Linked DNA regions of Caenorhabditis elegans. The protein of the gene in region 1 interacts with the protein of each later gene in a biochemical or structural test. Each region holds a gene or a part of one and is shown on either strand. Other genes may lie near its edges.

What was found.
Region 2: of the proteins of fos-1 (region 1) and jun-1, one has a biochemical effect on the other in vitro, tested with the Caenorhabditis elegans proteins (one study listed by BioGRID).
Region 3: of the proteins of fos-1 (region 1) and kgb-1, one has a biochemical effect on the other in vitro, tested with the Caenorhabditis elegans proteins (2 studies listed by BioGRID).

What each region holds. Positions count from the first base shown.
Region 1 is NC_003283.11:6,006,249-6,015,830, forward strand, and holds fos-1 (Transcription factor fos-1), read left to right. Parts: upstream 1-2,317; coding exon 2,318-2,575; intron 2,576-4,444; exon of another isoform or gene 4,445-4,499; intron 4,500-4,852; coding exon 4,853-4,922; intron 4,923-4,967; coding exon 4,968-5,104; intron 5,105-7,032; exon of another isoform or gene 7,033-7,155; intron 7,156-7,261; coding exon 7,262-7,375; intron 7,376-7,970; coding exon 7,971-8,471; intron 8,472-8,524; coding exon 8,525-8,726; intron 8,727-9,321; coding exon 9,322-9,443; downstream 9,444-9,582. UniProt on the Caenorhabditis elegans protein: Developmentally regulated transcription factor which binds and recognizes the enhancer DNA sequence 5'-TGA[CG]TCA-3'.
Region 2 is NC_003280.10:9,110,538-9,117,154, reverse strand, and holds the start of jun-1 (Transcription factor jun-1), read right to left. Parts: upstream 3,999-6,617; 5' UTR 3,865-3,998; coding exon 3,753-3,864; intron 539-3,752; exon of another isoform or gene 480-538; coding exon of another isoform or gene 428-479; intron 331-427; coding exon 259-330; intron 1-258. Other genes in the region: T24H10.4 (Transmembrane protein 53), read right to left, coding at 6,107-6,352, 6,540-6,617. UniProt on the Caenorhabditis elegans protein: Transcription factor that recognizes and binds to the AP-1 non-canonical enhancer heptamer motif 5'-TTAGTCA-3'. Required for ovulation. Controls plc-1 expression in the spermatheca to regulate spermathecal valve dilation.
Region 3 is NC_003282.8:404,449-412,882, forward strand, and holds kgb-1 (GLH-binding kinase 1), read right to left. Parts: upstream 5,586-8,434; 5' UTR 5,509-5,585; intron 5,425-5,508; exon of another isoform or gene 5,314-5,424; intron 4,449-5,313; 5' UTR 4,439-4,448; coding exon 4,373-4,438; intron 4,330-4,372; coding exon 4,238-4,329; intron 3,588-4,237; coding exon 3,458-3,587; intron 3,415-3,457; coding exon 3,299-3,414; intron 2,591-3,298; coding exon 2,506-2,590; intron 2,457-2,505; coding exon 2,285-2,456; intron 2,116-2,284; coding exon 1,855-2,115; intron 1,809-1,854; coding exon 1,702-1,808; intron 1,644-1,701; coding exon 1,500-1,643; 3' UTR 1,173-1,499; downstream 1-1,172. Other genes in the region: gpa-4 (Guanine nucleotide-binding protein alpha-4 subunit), read left to right, coding at 1-35. UniProt on the Caenorhabditis elegans protein: Mitogen-activated protein kinase which is an essential component of the JNK pathway composed of mlk-1, mek-1 and kgb-1.

The DNA.
Region 1 (9,582 bases):
ACTAGCTAGTCCACAGATATTTCAAATCTTTTTTAATTCAAGTAACATGTTTTCAAGATTTTTAAAGACTGTGTTGCGACACTGGGGAACCTATTTATTCAATTCAGATTTTTAAAACTGTAACAACTGCTCCATCTTTGAGATTTAGGAAATATTTGAAATCGTAAAGTGAATAAATTTTAGACTAAAATATTTGTTTCCCGCATAAAACTAAAATATCCTGTTATTACTGTTTCTTCCCGAAAACACCTGTATCCACCGAATAGTACAAGCATGTCGCGTGGTAGCTTTCATTCTCCTTGTCCCACTTCTCACTTCTCTCTCCAAATTTCTTCTTTTTTTTTCCAAAATAAAAATTCAAATTCCGTTGTCTTTTCATTTCGGCACCGGTACGCACACACCGGTATCACGTCATTCAAGAAAAAGGGAAAAGGTGGAAAAAGTGCATTTTCTGCGTCTATTGTGATTGGAGTACTATCTAGGGCACGATCGGGAAGAAACAAGGGAGTAGAAGGAAATTGAAAAGATTTGGGAAAAAAGAAGTGTGAAACTGTTGTACTGTACAAACAGAACATTTTGAATTTTAAACATCAGAAGCTGGAAAAGTTTCAGAGATTTGGTAGTCTTTTTATTGGAGCTTGGAAGTTAACATTTCATGATTTACTGGCCAAAACGTCCCCTGATTTAAAATATTTCGAGTAAATTGATGAATTATTGAAAATCTTTTTGGAGATATTTGTAGCTCGGTTTTGAACTTGTAAATATTTTTAAAAAATTTCCGTAACGGGTAGTCATATTGAAAATATGATAAAATGTTTTGGAAGCTGAGCTTTTTTGAGATCGCATCAATATAAGTTCCTGGCTCTGGTAAATCTATTGAGCTCGGTGTCAGTCTAATCAAGATCGATGTCAGCAGAAGCTGGCTGTACAGCCCTTGATTGGACTGAGTTTCAGAAAGCTCAAATGTTGTTTTCAAAATGCAACCTAGCTTCAGATCATAACGAAAGTATAGCATGTTTCATAGAAATTGGAAATACTTTCTTGAAACAAGTAAATGATTATTTTGCACCCAATGTTTGATGACTACCTCATGTCTTTCATTAGTATGGCATGCAATTTCAAAATTTAAATTATAATATTTCCTCTATTTGTCCTCTACTACTCTACTGCGCCATTTTAAAAAAGTAACAGCTCGGTCCATTGTGAAGATATTAGTGAATAAGTAAATTCAAGCGACAGACAAATAATTTTTGAAAAATGTTGTCAGTTGGCAATTTCTCAATAGAACAAATGACAACTGATATAAGCTGTAAACGTTTAGATTTTATTTTATTTGAGCTAGGCCCCTCTCATCCAAAAAGGTTATTAAAAGTTTATTGCCTGTTAAATTTATAGACTTAGACATCCATCCAAATATTTAAATGTTGCTGTTGCTTTTGGGTCAACAAACGACACATACCTGTTAGTGTCATCCTTCGTTCCGCGTGCACGCATCGCACTGAATCATCGGTATTCATCACCTCTTCTCTGCAATCAACGAGCCAAATGCCAATTGGGTTATTTGAGTTAGAAACTCGGGAAGCTTCACAGAAGAAATAATTAGCTGAATTGGCAAAGAGAGCACCTGCTCCCCGGAATGTCATACTTTTGTAGAATAAAAGAAGGGAAGACGACGACGTCTCCGGTTCTTCTATCCCAAACAATACCATTTTTTGTTTCCCATCTCGTCTTCGATGTTGCTGACTCACCATCAATATCTAAACAGAAAGCACCCAATGGTTCGCCTTTTTTGTCTCCTTTCTCGACAGTTTCTGTTTTTTTTTGTATGTTACATAAATACCGTACACCCACCATCTAGTCAATTGTCACATATTCGAAATCAAAAGTTATCAAAAACTCTCGTGCACTTTAATACACAGTTCCGTCGGCCACCCCGTCACCAGCCGGCGTTTTCTTGGTGATATCATTGGCGGTGGCTCTTTGAAAATTCAAATTTGGTGTCGTCCTCCCGAAGGTGTGGGCGGAGCTTGCGCACCGTTCGCGGTGGCCGTTGCTCTCGACAGTTTTCTCTTTCCCTCGCTCCTTTCTTCTCTCAACCAAACACCTGCCCACACACGCAACTTACTTTTGTCATCGCTGGTCCCCTGTCCAAAGATACAATCAACCCGTGTTGTGCTAATCATCACCTAGAAGAGTCATCTTCGTGAATCAGAATCCCTTTTCTTCCCCCTACTTTTTCCACTTCTATTCCCGGTTACTCACCTTCTGTGTTTGGCCCCGATCGTGTGTCAGCACCTCTGCTATATAAGAGAGTGGAATGTTCGAACAACCATCGTCGACGACTAACACCACCACGAGCTCTGGTTCTGGCTCCGATTCCAATCACTACTTCGAATTGGGTCCCAGGAACCCGATCAACCAAGCGCACCCGACATCAGTCATTGTTCCACCGCGACAACATCACCATCAGATCCACCAACAACAAACCGACAACTCACCTCTAACTCCGTGTACACCATATTATCCATCAAATGCATATGGACTCCCTTTATTCTTTGGAACTGATTTCCTGCAGGTATGATACATCACAAATATCTTCCTTAATTCAGTGTTTACTTCAAAGTCCACTATTCCCTTGCTAATAATCACGAGTTTTGATAGAGCTTTTAAATCATTACTTTCACTCATTTTTCACTCAACCTCGAGCCTTACATTTGTCAGTTGATCTCTTCTTTCCCATATAAAAATGAGATTATAGTAGCTTACTTTCATTTAGTTTAATATTAATTCTGAAAGTATCAAACCAAAAAGTAAAGCGTTCACTAATTCTTTTGTGCAAAAGTCATGCAGAAAAAAGTTACCTAGCTCTTGAATCTTTTCCCTCAAAAATGTTCTTACCAGCCATCTCCCCCGGATTTTAGTTCCGGAAAAATAAAACTATTTGGTTATGGATTAAATGTATATGGATAGGTGGTGCACGAGGAATCTTAAAAGAAGATGCCGACGTGTTTACACACTTCTACAGTAATCTATCTATCTTTCACCTTTCCCCCAATTGTTACTTTTGTGATCTTCTTTACCTCTCATGCACTCGCTAATCCGTTTTGGATTGTTTCCTGTTTGCACCTGTTGAAAAAAGATAAGTAATACTTATATGTTAACTTTTTTCGGTGCCAGTGAAAATATTACAGGCACGCAAATTTTTTAAATATTCAAAAAATATCTGTCACTTCTGCTTTGAGCTTGGGACCTACGAATAAAAAGAGATCACGTGTTTTAGCGTTCCTTCTTTGCGCTGACAACTTTTTACCAGTTTTCTTAGAATTATTGTCGCTGAAGACCAGACTTACAAAAATAATTTTTGAGCTTTATTTGTAAATAAAACAAACTTTAACAAAAAATGTAATAAACTGGCAAATGTGAACTCAGAACAATTATATTCACAGGTATTCTATTTCATTTTGAACATGTAGGTGTGAAACAGTATTCTTTTCAGTTCTAAATCAGTTTAACCCACTGAGAATTTTGACAAATGACGGTGAAAAAGGAAGAGTTGATAAAAAAATGATAAGACAATTGAAACCTTTTAATTATCAATTTCCAACACTTACTGAAAGAAAAACTATTTCTAGCGAACGCACCAATGTAGAATACCCATCTTTCTGCTTTGTTGGTTTTTGATAGGCTTTGATAAGTAGATTTTAAATTACCGTATATCTTCTATTAATATGGCCTCCCTATTAGACTTGCACTCCCTATTAGTATTGCCCCTCGGAGACCTTCCGAAAATTAGTATTGCACTCCCTATTAGTCTTGCACTCTCTAATAGTCTTGCGTTAACTTTTTTGTATTGCAAACCCGTCTCGCTAATTTCAGGATTTCAACAACATTTTTTGCCTATTTGGCAACAGTTTTCACATCATTTCTACGAGATTGAAGTTTTTGAACTTATATGAAAATCAAATTTTCTGAATTTTTACATATGATTCGAGCTTTTTCAGGAAAAAACTAGTAAGCTCAAAGTCAGAAAATGTTCTGAAAATTAGTATTGCACTCCATAATAGTCTTGCACTCCCTATTAGTATTGCAAGCGGGAAGGAATCGAAAAATAGTATTGCAGCCATATTAATAGAAGAAATACGGTATTAAATTATCAAAATTTACGAAAATATTTGAAACATATTTCATCAGTTGGAACAATACAGATATAATTCGCTGAAATAGAGCAAAAAGTGAAACAACTTTTTTATATTCTGAGTTTTACATAAATGTTTTCTTTTAATTTTTGCTTGATGTAGGTCATCAGGACAACGAATTCTGGTTATTACGGTTCATTTTATCACTCTACGTCTTTTGAAAATTTTTGCTTATACTGCTATCTAATTGCCAAAAAAAAGATTATAGTTTTTGAAGTGTCTTGAGTCGTAAACCATCTCTCTTTCTTCACAGTCCGCCTTTAGTCCTATAGTCAATCGTCAAACAAATACCGTATTTCCTCCTAGAATGGGCGGGGCGTTCTTTCCCCCTTCACCTATACACACACTTCATCATCTTCATCATCACTGCCGTTCCACTATTTTCTTGATTTGCTTATCAATATCATAATACTCATTGCTCACTCACCTCTAGAACTGCAAGTGTCACGTCATTACATAATGACTCATCAGGACGTATCATGGATGTTTGGGGCGAACCCATATGACGATAGTTACAATTTTAATTATGGATATGAGGAGGATGTAAGAGTTTAGAAGTTGAAATTAATTAAATTGAATTAAATAGGTAGAATAAAAAATTGTGGAAGGAAGATATATAGATATGCCAAATATTCGTGCTATAAAACTAATTTCAGTTCCAACCATCTGATATCCCATCTCCGCTCACACCGAACATCAGCTCGCCACTTACGCCACATCCATTTGGTAAGCAAGAGATATAATTAAGGTCCACGAGCATGGAAACTTCAGGTCCGATCCCAGCAATCCCGACTAATCAAATCTACAATCGAACATTCACCGATTTCTACTCGACGGCAGCTTCATCGCCTATGGTACAGTATAGCACGGTGAAGAAATCGTCGGCTGGGAGAAAACCTAAAGAAGAGGTGGGCAAGTTATCTACAAGTTATGGGTTACTTAGTTATGGGTTAGTTAAGTTACTTACTAAAAATTTGAATTATTGTTTAAAACCGAGTTGCTGCTATTCTAGAATATCCACTACTACACTTTAGCAATTTGCCGTATTTTTCCTACTAGGCTTGCCCCCTCGTTTTACCTTGACAGAGCATATCCCAGTTCTCTTTGGTTTTATCAAAACTTTGTCAACTCACAAAAAACGTGCAAAATATTTTTTTATATTATGATAGTAAAACATATTCAATAAAGCTTATGACAGCCGCGATATGAGCCGTCAAAGTATAGCAAAAAAGATTGTTACGTATTTTTCTCTAGTTTTTAAAACATGATTTACAATAATAGTTCAAAAATACGTCGAGATATATGAGCCAAGAAAGTTTTTTGAAAAATTTGAATAATTGGATTTCAAATTAAAAAAGAAAAGATAAGCTCCGAAACATTCAAAATACAATATTCTAGCATTGACATTTTTTACAATTAAGCGATTTGCGTCAACTTGAAAATTAAAATGCCAACTTGAAAGTTCTTCATGCTTATTTTAAGTAACAAAGTTTAGCTCGCCGTATTCACTCAATAATTTATTTTTGATAGACAGCCATTATAAAGTTTAAATGACAAAACTCACTTTTTGAATGTGGTATATGCCGGCATGACAAGCATGATTTTTGAATATTTCAAAACTTCAGTGGGGCATTTTTGTAAGTATAGCCAGAAATAAATATAAACGAACGTATTGGGCGAATAGCTGCTTTCTATTACAAAAATATAAGAGTTTGCGATTAGAAACTTGAGACACAGTAGACAAAAACAAGTAGGCAGGTATGAGAACTAGGCAGTGGGTGGAGATTCGAGTGTGTATGTTCATGGCAACACCTTCAACTCCTCTCAAATGACTCACAGTTTTCATTTTTCGTTTTTGACTCATACACTGTCCCATAGAACGCTCTCAAATTTCGTCATCATTGCAAGCCAAAGCTAGTCATTCGAATCTGACTCATTTTCACTGAAACCTCTCTCTGCTACTCTAGTCTATTTTTTTTTTCAATTCTTGTTTCCAAACATTTCGGTGTTTCTTCAAACCGTTGAGATGACGTGGCAGTATCACAATAAAACTGCGATCTATATGGTAAGATTGATGGAGCTTTGAAGGTTGATACGACCTTGCTTATGTATTTTTGTGATGGTTTCATGAACATGCAAAAGAAGCATCTAGAATTAACAGTGGCATTGCGAAATTAGTCACCACTAACGTACTGATAACAATTAAGTATGACGCGGAAAAAATAGAAGTACTGTAGATTAACGTTTATGGACGAGGGAAGTTACTATGGCGGGTAGGTCAAAGCAATTATATATTGAAAGGGGTTTGTACCATTTCAAGTTAGATTTCCCTGATATCCTTAACCTGGATAATACGGTCATTTTTGGTTTACCAAAAAGTCTTTGAATTTTGAAAAATTTCGAAAAAAAGAATGTAAGCCAAATAGGAAAATTACGGTATTCAGTGGAATTTACCCATAATTTACATTAGGTTTGCCGACATTGAAAAGTTACTGATAAATCTAAATTTCAAAATTACAGTAGACTTTGATTTTTTAGTTTAATTTTGCTCTAAGTTACTTGGTTACTTTTCTAACTTTCTGAGCTTGGCAACTTTTTCTTGTCTGTTACGCTTACCTAGAAATACATTTATGAAAAAAACATTTAGTTGAATTAGTTTTGCTGAACAAAAATTCCAACCCGAGCCTTCAAAACTGATAAAGTTAAAATTTGCAGTAGTCAAACTTTGGGCACTACTCATAATATATTTACAAATTGAATGCTCTTGCCCTTCTTTCGTCCATTTCTTTTTTCATTTTTAGATAGACGCCCTTTCCTGCCCACCAGGTACACTATGCAAAGTAAATATATTAGTCATCACGCAATATTGTATCTACATCCCTCGCTCTTTCGTACACCCTACCTTCCCAGTCTTCACCTAAAAGCTTAGAGAGACACCCACCCCAAGCAGAGGGGAAAATGAGCCACTTGACAAGAAATATAACGAAATGGATAATCTTTTGAGTAATCAGAGAAAATATTAACAAATCCTCAAAATACGGAAACTTAGAGTCAATGATTTTCAGGATAATATGGAGGATGACGATGATGATAAGAGGCTGAAACGTCGTCAAAGGAATAAAGAAGCTGCTGCAAGATGTCGGCAAAGGAGAATTGATTTGATGAAGGAATTGCAAGATGTAATAGTTTTATTCAAAAATAATTACATTCACCAAATAAAAAATTAGGATATTTTAATTGCAGTGGGGTATCTACCTTTAGTGAACACTTAAATTTTGAAGCAATTTTCAGTTAAGCATAACTCAAAAACTATACAGCTTCTCTAAATACTTTCAACAAGCAAAATGTTGATGATAACTTTGGCTACATTTTTGCCGTTGGAAAATTGTTAGCAATCTCACCCTGGAAAAAGTTATAGCAGCTGACAACTTGCTGGCCCAGTTTTGACTATTTCTATTGGAATCTTCTTAACTCAATAACAGAACGTTTTCATAGAAAACAAAATTTAAAATTGATTGCAATGTTCTAGATTCAGAAATGCCGGTAAAAAATTCAAAATTTTAAATATTTCAGAAAACAGTTTTGGGCCTAGTTCCAAGAATTTAGTAGTTTTTATAATTAACTTTCAAACATTTTTTAACTTATAAATTCACTATGATTTGCAATATATTTCAGTTTCATTTTGAAAAAAAACCACACTTATAGGTTTTTTTAGACTTCAAAATAGGAAGTTTCAACATTGTATTAAAGATAAATTTCACGATCTATTTTCAGCAAGTAAATGACTTCAAAAATAGCAACGACAAAAAAATGGCGGAATGCAACAACATCCGAAATAAGCTCAACAGTCTCAAAAACTATTTGGAAACGCATGATTGTAAACTGAGTCGCGAAGAACGAACACATGAGATAAATCGATTGATAATCCCACCATCAACAGTTCCACCATCACAACCATATCTTCAACATTCGTTGAGAGTTCATCCACCACGTGCTGACTCTGTACCATATTCTATTCGATCAGGACATTCATCTTCATCGTCTGAACAACACTCACCAGTTGAGGACTATAAGCCTTCAATTGATCAATTACTTCTTCCTCCAATCTCATGTATTCAAAATATCAAAGATCGAAATATCAATTCTATGCCACCACCAGCTTTACCGGCAAGCACGAGTGCTGCTGGAATTCATGTTATCACTTCTATCCCGGTTTCGCATGCCAACTCATTACACGGTCGTTCGGAAAACGTTTTCGCAGAACCGGAACGCAAAGTGAGTACATTCATTTTAATTTATTGAATCTTTTACATTACATTTTACTTCAGATTCCAAAAATCGAGTTGGACCAAACACTGACATCATTGACCATGCCAGACGACGTTGAACGTCCGTCAGCTCTTCCGACGCTTTCCAGAATCGTTGAAAATCAGCCGATCACTACTCCCAGCAGGCCTTTCCGTCTCGGGGGGGAATATCAAAATCAAACACCGCAGAGTACAGGGAATGGACTATTCGGAGGCCCACCAGGTAGTTTATTTAATCGGATTGTAGCCAATGAATAAAAATTGTATTTTTTACAATATTGCAATTCTTAATCCTAAATCTGAGTCTCATCGCGAGCAAAACTTTTCAGCTACCGTACCCGAGCTCTTCTAGTTTCTACCAATATTTTCACGTGGTGTCAGTCTGTACCATCACGGGTTGATCTACAAAAAATTCGGGAATTTATTCCCTTAAAAAATGTGACGCCATCACGTTCTTAACCATGCGATACTTGAAGTATGCGTCTAAATTCCCGCGATTCTCGGAGATCAAACCGATATAGGACACTCTGACACCACGTGTATTTTGAGATATCAATATTGCAATAATCATACAAAAATTGGAATATTTTGAAAAAACTCAACGTTAAATATAAAAAATGTTAAAATTGGAACTACAATTGCGAGTACGGTAGCTGGAAAGTTGTTGGCGTGCCAAGACCCAGAAATTTGCATAATTTTAATTCAAATGCCGATATTTCTACAATATACGAAAATTTTCTTAAATTTTTCCAGTTTCATCCCGGGCTAAAAAGTGTTATTTTTATTTCTCAAAATATAATTAACGATTTTCATTCCAGGCCCATTCGACTTGCTTTCCTCCAACACTGGTCTGACACCTTCTGGTCAGCCAACAATGAACTTCGTTTCAACTCCAACCCCGATTCAACCACATCCGGATGCTGATCTCCGACCACTCTAGATTCCGATTCAAATCATTTTCTGTAGCGTGCATTTGTAATTTTCCCCGTCCAGCTCTCATTATTACAAAATTTCATACAATTTCCCGATTTTCTATCCAATTTCCATATCTTTAAATTCAGCCAGTTCTCTCTTTTCTC
Region 2 (6,617 bases), on another chromosome or scaffold:
ATATCTAAGTTAGTTTTTTTTTCATTTTCCATCCAGTCATAACAGTGGTACAATTGTTTTAAAGTAGTATGCCACCTTCTGATTGTGATGAGAAAGACATTCATTTATCAGTCACACAACAGTTTTGTTGACGTTTTTACTTTGTGATTTCCATTTTTTGAATATTTGATCAGCAAACGATTATTCTTGAGTTCTCAATTTGTGACTTTCTTTTTTTATTTTAAAATTTCCATTCATTTCAATATTCAAAATTCTCACCATAAAATCCTTTACAGTACTGTGCTGTGCTTTCCTTCTCGCCATCATCTACTTCCATATCCTGTCGCCGATCTGAAAGTTAACTTTTAATACTTCAGAGATTGGAATTAGTCTTTTGGTATTCGTGTCATTTGAAAATGAAACTGTCACTCTTAAAATGAACCCTTACATGGTGAAGAGTTGGTATGTTGTGTCACATTCATATCAAACGAGTTATTCATCATCGATTCACAAAATAAATAGAGAAGAATGAGAATCGGAAAACGAAGAAGAAGAAAACGAAACGAAACGATGAGAGAATGAGATGGAGGTGGAGAACCATTTTTGGTGATAAGCGAGTATGACTCACTACTCAACAACCCGACATTTCAGGATGAACTGAAAGCACACTGAATTGCTTACAATTTCAAGACAAACGGGAAGAATTATATTGCTAATTCGTTATTTACCATATCACTGTAACTGTTAAATGTCGTGAACAGTCTCTGATGCTGTGCTTCTAGTAGGCATTCCACTCGGTCGAGGCGTGACCGAGGCGCCTTTCGTCCCTCGAACCCCTTACAGTCAACTTTGTGTTCCATTTACCTTAACTGTGGTTCTGGTGGTTATTTTAAAATTTCTAGTTATGTGAAAAAACTTGAAATCGATTCTATTTTTGGTAGGATAGAGAATTATAAATTTCCATTTCTTGGTGATTCTTGAAACAACTGATTGATTATTTTCTGATCAATTCCATATTAAAATACGGTTATGTTCTTTAGGTATATTTACAAAAACTATGATTTCTTTGATAATTATTTAAAATTCAGCCACTGCAAAATCATAGATCAAATCAAAAGACCCGGAAAATAATTGTTTTCCAAAATATCAGCACATTTAGGAAGTACAATTCCAACAAGAATATATCCTAAATTGGCGGGAATCGAGAAAAGCATAACAAAAAAATAGATTCAATATATATGAAGAAAAATGTTTCAGATAACTTCATAACACAAACATCAATTGATCATGAAACGCGTGTTAGATTTGATTAACAAAACATGTTAACGATGTTCTTGGAACTACGCTGATTAGCAGAAAAAGTTGGTGGGAAATGTTGTTTAAAGTTTTTGAATACGCGACACGAAAAAGGAAAGTGAAAAACTTTCATAATGCTCCATCCAAGCACGTTCTTTAATTTGTGTTTATGATGGTGGGAAAATAGAAAAAGTGAAAAAAAGAGAAGAAGAAAAAGATTCTCAGATGTTCTCTAACAGAAAATGTAGATGAAACTAGAGAACCAGAAAAGCTCAGAGATAAACATCAAAAAGAAAATATTAGAGCAGATCAGTCTTCCACGAGCAGAACGTCATGAATATGTTCTTTAAAGATTAGTGTCAGGTTTGATGGGAATTGGCTGAAACTAGGGCTTCATGCGCCTCATCGGAACTTGGCTTGCCTTCACGGCAACCCTTGCCTGCCTTGTGCCTAGAAATATTAATAACTCATGAGTTAACACAATTCGAGCGCCAAACATCGTTGAATCAAAAATATGAAGCCAGGAGGGGCGGGTAGGTTTGAGGCAGGCAGTGGATCCTGAGGATGCACCTCTCTAGATAGATCTACTATGGGTAACCTAGCTAAAACTGAGTTCAAAATGACTAACTACCTACAGGTTCCATTCTAAAATTGAAACAACTTCTGCAGAAAATGAGAACAAATACTAACAGAGATTCGCCTGAATATTTCATCAAACATATGACTGTTTCGCAAGAGTTGCCATAGCCTCTTTCATCTCATTACCCATGCATGTTATGGAACAGAAATCAGAGCCTAAAAACTGAAAGATGGGAAGGAAAAAAGGGGCAAAGTGTGTGTCAAAACATTTACGAAAGCCCGATGACTCATTCCAAGAAATGAATGGGAACGGATAGAACGAATGAACAAAATATGTCTGGATAAAATGGAAATTAAGAAACCAAAGTTCGAGAATAAACGCATCGAAAATTAGTTCAGCTCACGTAGCTAAAAAAAATTTCAAGACAAACTTTTAAACATCTTCTTTGCAAAAATCTTGATAACGAGAAATTCGACGTAAAATAGAGAAGCGAAGGGCCGGGATAAGCCATTTGTAAGATCATTTTAGATTTTTTATAGCATTCGATCGTTCAAAATCAATTTTAAAATAGCATTGTTTGAACTTTTGCTTGAATTTTCTGTACTTATAGTGTGTTTTGTATTTTCGTATTGTACTTTTGTCAATATGACTTCGAAGAACGTTTTCAAAATACCTAACTATAAATTTCGACAAAACCTTAAAAAACCCAAATAGTGTACTAAAATGATCTGATGAGCTAATAATGAAACTTCCGAAAGGAACAGCTGTTAGTCTTATCATTTGGCACAATCAGGTCGAACCAATGAAATATTGCTCTCAAACCAAGAGAGGGCGGAGAGACATATTGTGGTGATTTATTAGGTAGTTCTTGTGAAAAAATGTCGGGTTTGAAATATGTTAAATTTCTAGATGAAGGTTTTAGAGAAATGAGGTTTGTCGGATTTGTATACCATAATATATTTAAGCTTTTTTTGAAGGATTTGAATAATACAAATCTTCAAAGTAAAGCTAGGGGACAAGCTAGAGTAGGAGGTAGAGATTTTCCAAAAAAACATAGTTTTACCGTTAATTGCAATTTTAAATATTAATCAAGAATTTAGGTTTAATGAAAGTTCAAAAAATTTACCAAGTTTACAGAATATGGTCTAGGAATATATATATATATATAGTTTCAAGTTCCTAGATCCTAACCCTAATGCCTCTACACTTCCGCTAAACTAGGCATATGCGTTTATCAACAAAAAACAGTTCGAAGAAAAGAGACCATATAAGACGAAGAGACGCAGACAGTTGCCAGATGGAACGGGCGGGAAAAGCTGTGCGCCGCTTCGATCACTACAGTAGCTGCGTCGTTGGAATCGAAAATCACGTGTCAACTCGATTTTTTTTTCTCGATCACTGCGTCTCTCTCCGAATTAGAGTCTCGCTCGTAGTTTTTGTGATGATTAAAATGTAATGATGAACATTCATAAAAGTGGGCGGAGCCAGGATTATACCGTTTACTCTATTTTTAAGTGTTTTATGTCCAGTTGAAAGGAAATTGTTGCATAGAAAAACTTTCAATTTGGTAAGAAACAATATGATTTAATTTTACAAATCATTTAAGAAAAATACAAAACAATTTTAACAACCACCTGTTTTTTTTGGCACGCGTCATAAACTTTTTATGGGTTCAAAGAATTCATATTAAACATAGATCTACAAATTGATATAATGTTTTGACAAACAACTTCATCAATTAACGATAAAATCACGAGATCACAAATGTTTGGTAGTTGTAATTTGGCATTTTGATAGTAGTGAAACTATAGTTTTGTAACCATGATTGTCCATTTCCTATTGTGACAGGTTTATCATCAAGTATTCCAAAACTTTTGAACTAGACAAACAAACTAACCCTTTTTGGAATTTTTCCTTCTTCGAGTTGGAGCTTTTGGAGCTTTTAGAACAACTTCTGGAGATTCTGATGATGTTGATGAGGATGGTGGTTCCTCTTGATCCTCTTCCATTTTTGTTTTATTTTGATTTCAAAACCTTTTGACAAATAAGAATTGAATAGAGAGGAAGAGAAGTTGATGACGAATCGGTTGACGACGATGGCGATGGGGGTTAGTCGGCGGGGGCCCCGAGAATGAGTCACACGCACACTCACTCTTGTCTCTTTTCCTCTGCTGACTCGTTCTTTTCCTTTTTCTCTCTTTTTCTATCTCTATCTCTTTCTCTCTATTTTCCAGATCCATGACATCCATAGACGCAGATAGACAAACGAACATTGAAAGAAAACATTGAAAATTGAGAGAATCCAGAAGTTTCTCATTCTCTCTATTTTTCATTCTCTCTTTCCACCACCCAATTGACATTTAGAAAGGTAAATGGAGAGAGAAAGAGAGGAAATGGATAAAGTTCGCAGAAAAATGTTACCGTAAATAATGTGTCAGTGTGCTTGCTTCACGTTCTCCGTCTCTTTTCCCTCATTTCTCTCCGCTCCTTTGACTTCTGTATTTGCCTTTCCATCAGCCACTTATCTTTTTGGAAGTTCATTGGCTTTTTCAGAGCTCATCTTGTTTTTCATTCTTTTTAGGCCTGACCTCATTAGTCTTTTACCCATAGATCTTGTTTATGCACCCAATAATAACTAAAATATAATACGTTTTTTGCAGGGGTTTGAAGCTTTCTGATCCGGTTTTTCAAATTAATAAAAACCGAGAGTAATAAAAACTCATGTTTCAGTAAATCCAATTTTGGAAGTCGACCAGAAAACATTTTTTGGAAAATTTGGCAATTTACTAAAACTGTTAATGAACATTTTACTCTGGAGTGTTCGATTATGACATTCGAGAATTTTGTCTGCACATACTTCAACTAGACCAGAAATACTCTAGATCATTTTTACAAAATCTAAACATATTTTGATTTTCTTTTTGAAATTGTTTGAGGTTTTGTTTTTGGCACAATGCAAAAAAAAGGTTTTTTTTCAAAGTAATTTATACTATTTTTGCATGTTCGGTCCTAGATCTTTCATATTTGTAATACGTGATAACATATTATTAGTAATAGCCAGATTTTGACTACAGTTACAAACATTTTTTAATTTTTTGAACTGTTTTACCATGTTATTCAGCATACCAAACAACTCGTCTAGATATCAAAACAAGTTTTATTCAAGGTAACATACCGTGTACCATACCATTTGGAAAGTACGGTAGATATCAGTTCATTGCATTTGGGAATTTGTATCGCATTTGCAAAGTTAATTTTGATTGGTAGATTTTTTTCGGCACTTGCACTTAATTTTTTCATAGAAACACCGTAATTTGCATAAGAATAGTCATTCGGCCTAACACGATCGATGCTAATTATCTTTTATTATTACTAACTTCATGTTTTATTTGGCTTATTTGTGCTGATATCTAGAGGCTTTTGAATTGTACATTCGTGAACCAGGAATTGGCCAAGTTTTGCCAATTTCGGAACCAAGTTGGGTACGAAGTTTCGAACATAAATCTGAAAGTGTTTCATTGGTCTCCAATAGTCATGATTTGTGATTCACTTTCCAATTTACAATATCAACAGTAGTATCTACTCATAATTGATAACTTCGTATTTTCTCTAATCATACTTATGTCTCTCACGATTCCATACAATTTCGCGTTCGTTATGGTTGTCTGCTCATCTTTTTGTACACGGTCATCAAAATGAAATCGGAACGAAAAAGCAGTCACAAATTCGGAAATCATTGCAAAAAAATGGTGGGAGTAAGAATTGAGAGATTAGTGGAAATGGCATCACATCAGAATCAATTTGAATTCTCTCTTTTTTTGTGTTTCCTCTGCCCACCCATTCACATTTCAGGTGATTTCGAGAACAAATTACGTCGAAAGGGAAACGCCTGGCTGAAAATAAAAAATTCAGAAAAAAAGGAAGAAAATAGAAAGTGCACGCACCGGCATACGTAATAAGGAGCCCCTCATCTAAATAATATTTACGCTTCCAAGATTCTGTTTTTAGTTTAGTTTTTTTTAGAAGGAAGGAAACTTTTTTTCGTGTAATAGCAGGGACTTTCAAAAAGTAATAATTTATATCTAATGTCAATAGTATCAAGCAAAAGCTTTTAAAGCGAATAAAACTGGGACATAGAGATGGAACGTTGGGAAAGGAGATGGGAAGAACCGGTCAATTAATATATAAGTAATTATGCGAATTACCATCTATAAATATTAAGAGAAACAATAAAAATCTATAGATATGAATCTAGTAGGCAAGCTCTTCAGGTACATCATTTTGTGCAGCTTCTTCAGTTATTTCTAACGGCACACGACTTCTATTCGCTGGTAGATGGCCTGATTTCACAAAGTCTAGGCATTCTTGAGTGTACGTCACGGGATGAGATCGGAGATGTTGGCAGTGCAAAGAATCGAGAAGACGAAGTTTTGAGATTGAAACACCACGTTGCTCCATTAACTGGGCGTATTCTTCGATGGATTCTTCGGAGCAAACCTGGAAAAATTTGTTAAGCTAAAAATGTGTTAAATCTAGATTCTAGAATCTAGAATAAAACAATTAAAACACTGTAAAAACTAGCAAAAAATTTAGGAAGTGTAAACAAAAAGAAGCTTTTTAGCTTTTTTCAATTTTGGATTTCAGAATACCTATTTTTTTCTTTTATTTTGAAAATTCAACTCACTAAGTCTGCAGGTCCATAAATATAGAGCTGCTTCGCCGGTAGATTGTCAAATGTTATCATTTTGAAATACGCATAGTG
Region 3 (8,434 bases), on another chromosome or scaffold:
TCCGTAATAACCTCTATCTTTGCGGTCTTTATTAAACGTTTAACTAGATTAGCACAAATGCTTGGCCTCTTTGAGTCTTTTTTCATTTACTCAGATGGATACTCTCGTTGTCTGCGTATCCTCTGATTCTCTTTACTTACGACTTGTTCTATATTTCTCCAAATATAAGTTATGAGAGAACAAAGTTCAATGATTTTTATGAATCATTGGATATTTTTAGAAAAGCCTTTAAAAATTAAAAAAAAACAATTAATTCTCGAGTTGTGACGTTTTCGTCGCCTTTGTACTTTTTGTTCCACCTATTGTTCTTCTCCCATCCAACTTTAAAAAAAAGGTTTTAGAGTACATTCTTCTCAAGAGTACTTCTATATTCACTGTGAGCCCCTGATTTTACTTTCAACAAATTCAGAACTTTCATAAACATTTCTCATTATTTTTCTTTAATCTTGCATAATTGCTTAAATTTTTAGTACGCCTCAAAACTTTGTTTTTTGTTACTATATTTATCCGTTTGTGTTTAGTTGTTTGTTGTTCAAACTGTTCCTGTTAGTTTTATTTTATAAAATCTCTCAGACTTGATGCTAAATTCCGGTTTTTCAAAAAATAATATGATAATAACAAAAATTCGGAATTCCAAAACCCAAAAGTTCAAACTTACAAAATATCAAGATTCCAAAAAAATATTTTCCATCCGCTTTTCTTAATTCTAGAATAGAATACTAAAAGAATCATTTGAAAACATTTCAAGGCGTCTCTGTTTCTCTTTTTGTCCAAATGTCCATATACTTTATTTCCCATCTTTATATCAAAAATCTTTTACTACCCAAAAGTCGATTTTCTGTTGTCCAGCCCACTTTTCAGTCTTCAAACCTCATCTTTTACTGAATGTTCAATTTTTGTGAAATAAATGTACTTATTCAAGACCACCATTGTCCATCTGTGTGATTTAATGTCCGGTCGTTCTGGATTCCCATTTTGGCTTCATTTTGTTTTTGAGAACAAAAATTAAAGCATCGTTTTGAAGAAAAAAAACCTATAGGTCTCCCAGCTAAGTGAGGCGCGGACTTCACGATCGGGTTCCCTGCCGCACTATATATTCGGATACATGCACTGTGATTGACGCTGTGAGGCCGGCGCGGGCGCCGCTGTGGCGACCTCATAGGGGACCTGGTCCCTAAAAAATTAATTTATTGATTTAGAATTTTGAATTTAAACCTGACAATACAATCGAAAAACAATCCCTACTTTATAATGAGATGCAAATTTTGTGGAGCTAAGGTTCAATTTCTTATACTTAAAACAAAACAGTTCCAAAAAATCTGTATTCCAAAATAATTAACATTTAGTGATTATAATCAATATAGAAAATAAGCAGAGAATCACCAGAAAATATGGCCAACTAAGTGACAGAACACAACTGAAAGATAGATTTTTGAAGAAAAAAGTAACACAATTATTTTTGAGAGAAAAAGAAACAATTTTAGGTTTTTTATTATTTATTATCCAGTGAAAATGTCGTGGTCGGCTTGATAGCGTTGCACTTCGTTGAAAATTAGCTCTTTCCATTCAATAAGTGTCTTATCGGCAAAATCAATTTCCTGATCGTATCGATTTTCTGATGCGGGGGCGTTTACCTCATCGTCCTGTAAGATTTGAGATGCATGATTTGATTGTTTTTGTTTAGTGCTAAAATTGTTGTACCTTAAACCACAACTTAACATATGGATGATTCAGTGCATCTTCAACTGAATACCTTTCTTCAGGATTGATTTTCAACATATTGAACAGGAGATCACGAGCCACGTGTGCTGAAAATATGATTTATTTTTCAAAATCCTGTATAGCCTGACTCACGTGTCAAATGGACCCTTGGATTTTCAGTCTCCGGCAGAAAATTGGTATCAGGAACGATTTCACTGAATGCTCGTGCCTGATGACGTGGCAACGATCGAACATACATAGCAGCTGACTGACCCAATTGACTAATGAAATGATCATCTGGTGTTCCCAAAACACTATAAATTTTAGTCCATTGATCAATTCGATCTTTTCCAGGGAAAAGTACGGTATGGTTGATCATTTCAGCAAATATACATCCGACTGACCAAATATCTACTGCAATTATGAATTGAGAGTGTTGTTTGGAAGCGGCCGACACGTTTGGGGTTTTACGCGCACTTTACATGCGGATACGTACGGCGTGAGGCTGTTTGAGGCGGCTCACCGGAGCGCAGATGGAAGTCCAGCCCAAAATTACAAAAATTTTTTTTTTTTTCGAACAAACCTTTTTCCGAATAGGGAAGACCTAATATAACTTCGGGGGCTCTGTAGTATCTTGTCACCACATAATCTGACATTCTCATCGATGTGTCCACATTCTTCTTCCGGGCCAATCCAAAGTCTAAAACTTTTAATACACATCGATCGTTGACGACAATATTCGATGGTTTTAAGTCCTGAAACTTTGAATTTTTCAGAATGTTGTCTATAGTGGTAGATACGTACACGATGAATGACTCCCGAATTGTGAAGATGCTTGATTGCGCACAAACTCTGGTAGACGAAGAATGATAATGTTTTATGGTCCAATCTAATAATTCAGAAAATTTTTTTAGAATCTAATTATGTGTTTATATTCAATATTCAATCATTGAATCATTGAACAATCATGAATAGGAGCTCAAATGTGCAAGTGTTCTAAACTTTTTTAAAAATTCTGATTTTTGGTAGTTAACTAAAATCTTGACCAAAAATTTTCAAAACACGCTGGAATATTTTTTTTATTTTTTTACGCGTGTTCTGGTAGCTAACTGTGCGTGTTTTGATGATGGTTTCGGCACATTTCCAAGTGGGTACTCAAGGTTGGATAAAAATGTATTTCCGACCTTGGGAAACGCGAAAGACGGCAAAATTGAAAGTCTAGCTTTTGCCCTTGTTTCTTTCTTTTTTTAAAAGTTTTTTTTGTTGAAAAGTGTCAGCAATAAACTTATTATTATTGTTGAATATGTTTATTAAACGTGAAATTGAGACAAAAAAGGTTGATATTTTGGAGTCGTTCTGAGTTTATTAGAGCAAAAATGAATCCGCCACTCCTTCTTTAAGATATCGTGCTTTTCCTATTGTTTTATTTTTATTCTTTTGTTCTCAAAATCAATAACAGAAAAATAATATTTTACGTCTATTAGTCTCTAACAAGTCCATCATATACAGTTTAAATTACGTCTAGTATACTAGATATTACTATAAAAATTGGTATTACTGAAAAAAAATCATAAAAATCAGCCACCATGTCTCTTACCTTAATCGATGTATAACCTCGTGCAAATTGTGTGTCATTAATTCCATAACTAGATATACTTCTCGGAACGTTGAAAGTGAAGTGTCCGGTGTAAACGCGTTTAGTAGACGGATTATCTGAAATTTGGAGCATTTTTTCTAGATTCCAACTGAATCTTACATTTGGGTGTTTGATAGTCGTTAGCAGTATAAACTCTCGATATGCTCGCTTTGCGCTCATTGTCATCACAAATGGTTGTTGCATCTTCTTGATTGCCACACGTTGCGTTGTTACTAGGTCATCGGCCATTCTAAATGTAATCAATAAAAATTATGGCTGTTCACTTAACTTAGAAATTCTGTTTGAAGTCATTTGCGCGATAATTTAATTTCAGTCACTTTCATTCTTCTAGAAGATCTTCTTGATTATTGATTTTTTCAAGCTTTTTCAATCTTAGAGGTGGAGCAGCGGGCAATGACGAATAACAATGATCTCGAGACCTCTACCTGTTTTAAAAGTTTTTTGATAGGGCGGTCCGTTTTTTTTCGGGAAGTCATCATTGTGTCAGTGTTTGAAATTACGCAAAACCGAAGAAAAGTTAAAGTGTAAAAATATACAATTGAAAGGCAGTGAGACATTCAAAGATGGAGTACGACCAGAGAAAGGATTCTCTGAAACCAGCCATATGTTTCTAAAATGACTAAAATTCATAGTTCTTTCAAAAAATTTATTTTATCTTTTGGTATTTGAACATTATTGGGGCTATAATTTGCAGTAAAGTGTGAAATGTTTGAAAAAGTAAAAATTATTCGAAAATTTGGCAATCTATCAAATCTTTGATTAACATCTTTGAAGTGTTAATATTTGTTTGTCTATTGAAATTTTTTGTTTACTGCGTTAAAAAATTCGCCCTATTATTTTTCCTTCAATAAAATATTAATGTAATTAGTAAAAACTCACACGACAGTTCCTTGGGCGCCGGCATTCAGAAAACTAAGGTTTACATAACGAGTTGGAATAGTGAAAGTGCTGTCCGCGCCGGCTATCGGGTCCTGAAAATGAATTTGAATGGAGGTAAAGTATCTAGTAACAAACCCTAATTGTAACTTGATGAAATCTAGACGCATCATACTCGTTATGTACCGGCAGATCCACTTCCATCTTATTGTGCCTAAAAAGTTATTAGTTTCAGGGAGAAATACTTAAAATTCAAAAATTAAATATAAACGTTAGTCATTAAATTTCAGCTTTTCTTAAATTTTTAAAAGTATAATTTCAATTTCCAAATAAACGTTTGAAAAAATCTATAAAAATTTCATAATTCTTATCACTTGCAAAAATGTTTCTGATTTTCCTTTCCAACCGGAACTGATAAAAATGCCTTAAAATTGTTGAGTTTCATCAAAACTGAGTCATTTCAACCCACGTAGAAATCAATAAATCTTAAAAACGGAGATTCTAACAGTTTGGAAAATTATTTTCTTTCCAAATATTGACTTTCCATTTCTGGAGTGAAAAAAAATGAGGGAGGGGATATATGTACATATTGTTAGTGAAATACAGTTTTCATTTTTTGAAGTGCAAACTAAACCTGACAATGTTTAAAAAATAGACTAAAAATAGAAAGATATGTAGTTTAATAAATAATCTTTGCAGCTAATCTTTAAATGTTTAATCATAACTTTGGATTTGTAATAAAGAAGTCATTTTTTAACATTTAATGAAATTTCAGCGTTTTTGTTTGGGTTTTTATGTTTTTTAATCGACTCATAAACTCATATTTCATATTTGCATGACGCAAAAAATGTTCACACTTCAAAAATTTGACTTCAGTTGTGAATGATCTTACACTTTTTGCGCTTGGTTTTGAAAGGATGTTCGTATTTAGGAAACAAAAGTCAACACTAATTTCAATGGAAAATTTAAATATTTTAGGTATCAAGTTGACTGGAATGTAACATCCAATAGTGTGTTTCTTTTTTTTAAACCTTTATTATAGAAAAAATACGATCGTACAAAAATAAACAACGACGCAATGACACTCCACCGTTTCTAAACCCCGCCCAAGATTTCATTTGCACTGAAATGTGTCGGCCGCAGTGCAAATGAAATCGTGGGCGGGTCTCAGAAACAGCGGAGTGTCGTTGCGCCGTTGTTTATTTTTGGGCGATCGTATTTTTTCTATAATACTCTAATTACTTTTTTAGTGGGATCACCACCAGGCAGTGTACCTGACTCCCAGATCCGCAGTGCATAGCGCTTGAAGAACGGATCGTCCTTTAATCCTTTAATCCTTTTCTCACGAACTCTACAATAAATACACGGGTTACTCGAATGGTTTATTCTAGCAATAGTTCGAGTTCGGGGTAATTTTGAGGTATTTGCTGTTAATTATTAGTGAAATACATAATACTGCATCGAGATAATTGAAGTCTATTATTCTCAACAAGTAAAATTCAAACTAAAATTGTATTAAAAAAGCAGGGGAAATTTTTTATTTTTACTTAGATTCGAAAACTTGAAGAAAAAAGGCAGTATACCCAGCCTGCCAATTTTTACTTTTACACTTTAAAGACACTTTAGATTTTGTTTTTTTTAAATCATAAATAACCTTTTTAAAAAGTTATAATTAAAAATTAAATAGTACAGGAATGATCTATATACATATATATATATATAAGTTGACAATGCGAAAGAGAGAAATAGTGTAGGTATTAAAAGTTACGTCACTGAGTGAATGTTTGTGTGCGGAAGAGAAGCGATAGGCTGAAGCCAAATAGGAGATGCAGAGAAATAGAGATTTCATCCTTCAGAGAGAGACACACCTAGGATTGAAAATGTGTAGAGAAGTAGAGAATCAGACAGAAAAGAGACACCACTCTGTTTTGGAGAATAGAGTTGCCGTAGAACAAATCGACCGCCTATAATAAAAGCTTTGAAAGTAAATTCTATAAGAAATAAGTTTAATATGTACGTTTTAAGTTTTAAATATCTTTTTCTCAATTATTAACATTTATGACAACTCAAAGCGCTACCCAATTAACTTGGGCCATGAAATCTCGTAGGTGCCTAATCTCCCAAAGTCGTGGGTCCACATTCTGTGTGGTCTTTCCTGTGGGGTTTTTTGGTTGTTCTTTACAATTGTTAAATAATACTTGATTTTGTCTGTTTGTTTCTCTAATTCTTTTCAATCTCTGCATTATTCCTTAGATTTCCCATTTGTTAGTCATCGGAAGTGATAACTCGATGCTAAAATGAAACACAGAGATAGTGAGTTGGATAATTTTAAATTATAAGGTGAAGTAGTGGTTTTTTTGCCATAAATGACAGAATACAGTCCCAATTTACCAAATATAACTGTTAAAAAATCAAAAAATAATAATAAATTTTTTATGATTTTTTCAAAAAGGCCGATTTAAATTTGAATTCTCGCACAAATTAATGGCGTCATTCTCGACATTTTGTGTTTTACGGCCAAACTAATTGGTTTTTCTTTATTCTTACAATTAGTTTTATAATTTGAAACATAATTTTTCAATTTTTCAAACATTTTTCAAACTTGATAATTGCGAAGAAACTTACCGAAACTCTGAAATTGGCTTAATTATTCAAAATTAATCATACATTTTCTTTTAGTCTGAAAAATTGACAGACTGTATTTCAAATTATAAAACAAAGGAAAAATGAAGAAAAACCTATTAATATAGGCTGAAAACGCAAAAGTTTCGAAAATGACGTCACTCATTTGCGCGGGAGTTCAAATTTAATTCAGTCCTTTTTTTTAAATTTTTGTAAAATTAAGAAAAAAATCATTAAAAAATTAGAAAAATTTCATACATTTTCTACATTTTTTAACAGTTATATTTAGTATATTGGGTCTCTATTCTGTCATTTATGGCAAAAAACTTACAGACGCTACTCCACCTTTAAATTTGGAACTTCTATGTATATTCTTTGAACACTTACCCAATAACCACAATCATCTCGTTTTCTTCCGAGAATTGTGAAATATTTTCGTAACAAAAATAATAGAATACTGTTTTTATGAAATTTACTTCTAGAATCCAATTTTTGGATGAAGGAGACAATTTTGTAAAGATGCACACAAATCGAATTAGTGTACTGTACAAAAGATGTTCTATATTACTTTTTTCACTGATCAAACAATAATAAATTTCATTGGAAAAATAGTTTTGAATTTGAATTTTTGTCTATCCTAACTACCTTTTTGAACAATTCTTCAACGCAAAAAAGTTTGTATCTATTTAAAAAATAAAAACTTCTTCTCAAGAAAATTATACATAGAAATAAAAAAATAGTTCCTTGAAAGAGAGATGAAAGTACAATGTGGTAAACAGCAGTTATTCGTGTTTTTTTTCTGAGAATGGACGCGTGTGCTGAAATATCAGAGAACATTAGGAAAAGTGGCCAAATTTTATCATTTTCCTGAAAACATCAAAAATAATTTAAACTTCTGGAATACCACAAAGAAAACGAGAAAAAATTGGGTAAGAATGTAAATTCATTGTCGAAAAACGTGATTTTTCAATGGCAGGGTTCTCTGTTACACGTTTGAACTTTCGAGCCAATCAGCGTCTTCAAACTCCACACAATCCGTCCGATTGGTCTTGCATTTCTTCTTTTGGAGGAAATTCAAACAGGCAGCTTTGCCGAAGTGAACATGTCCCTTTTTTTTAAAGTAAAACGTTCAATTCAGGGGTGTGCGGCAAACGGCGAACGGCAAATGTCGTTTGCCGAACGAAAATTAAGGTTCGGCGAACGGCGAATGCCGTTCGCCGAAAAAATTTTCGGTTAAAAGATCGGCGAATGCCGAAAAATTTTCGTCATTTTTCGGCATTTGTGAAAAATGTTTTTTTAAAGTTAATCGAATATATATTCAAGTTTTTCACATTCATCCGTTGAAACATTAATGTACAAACATTGTAGTCATACCCTTAAAAATTGCTTTCTGCAAACAATCAGGGGACATCTCTGTGTCTCTTGTATCCGAACACTCCCAAGTCACCTGTATTTCTAACACTTCCCAAAAATCAACATATTTGAGTTAGTAGCCATATTCTTTTTGTCGACACATCGTCACCCCACCATAAAACCCTCGAAGATGTTGTCTATGGCTGTCCACGTGTACAATTGTTT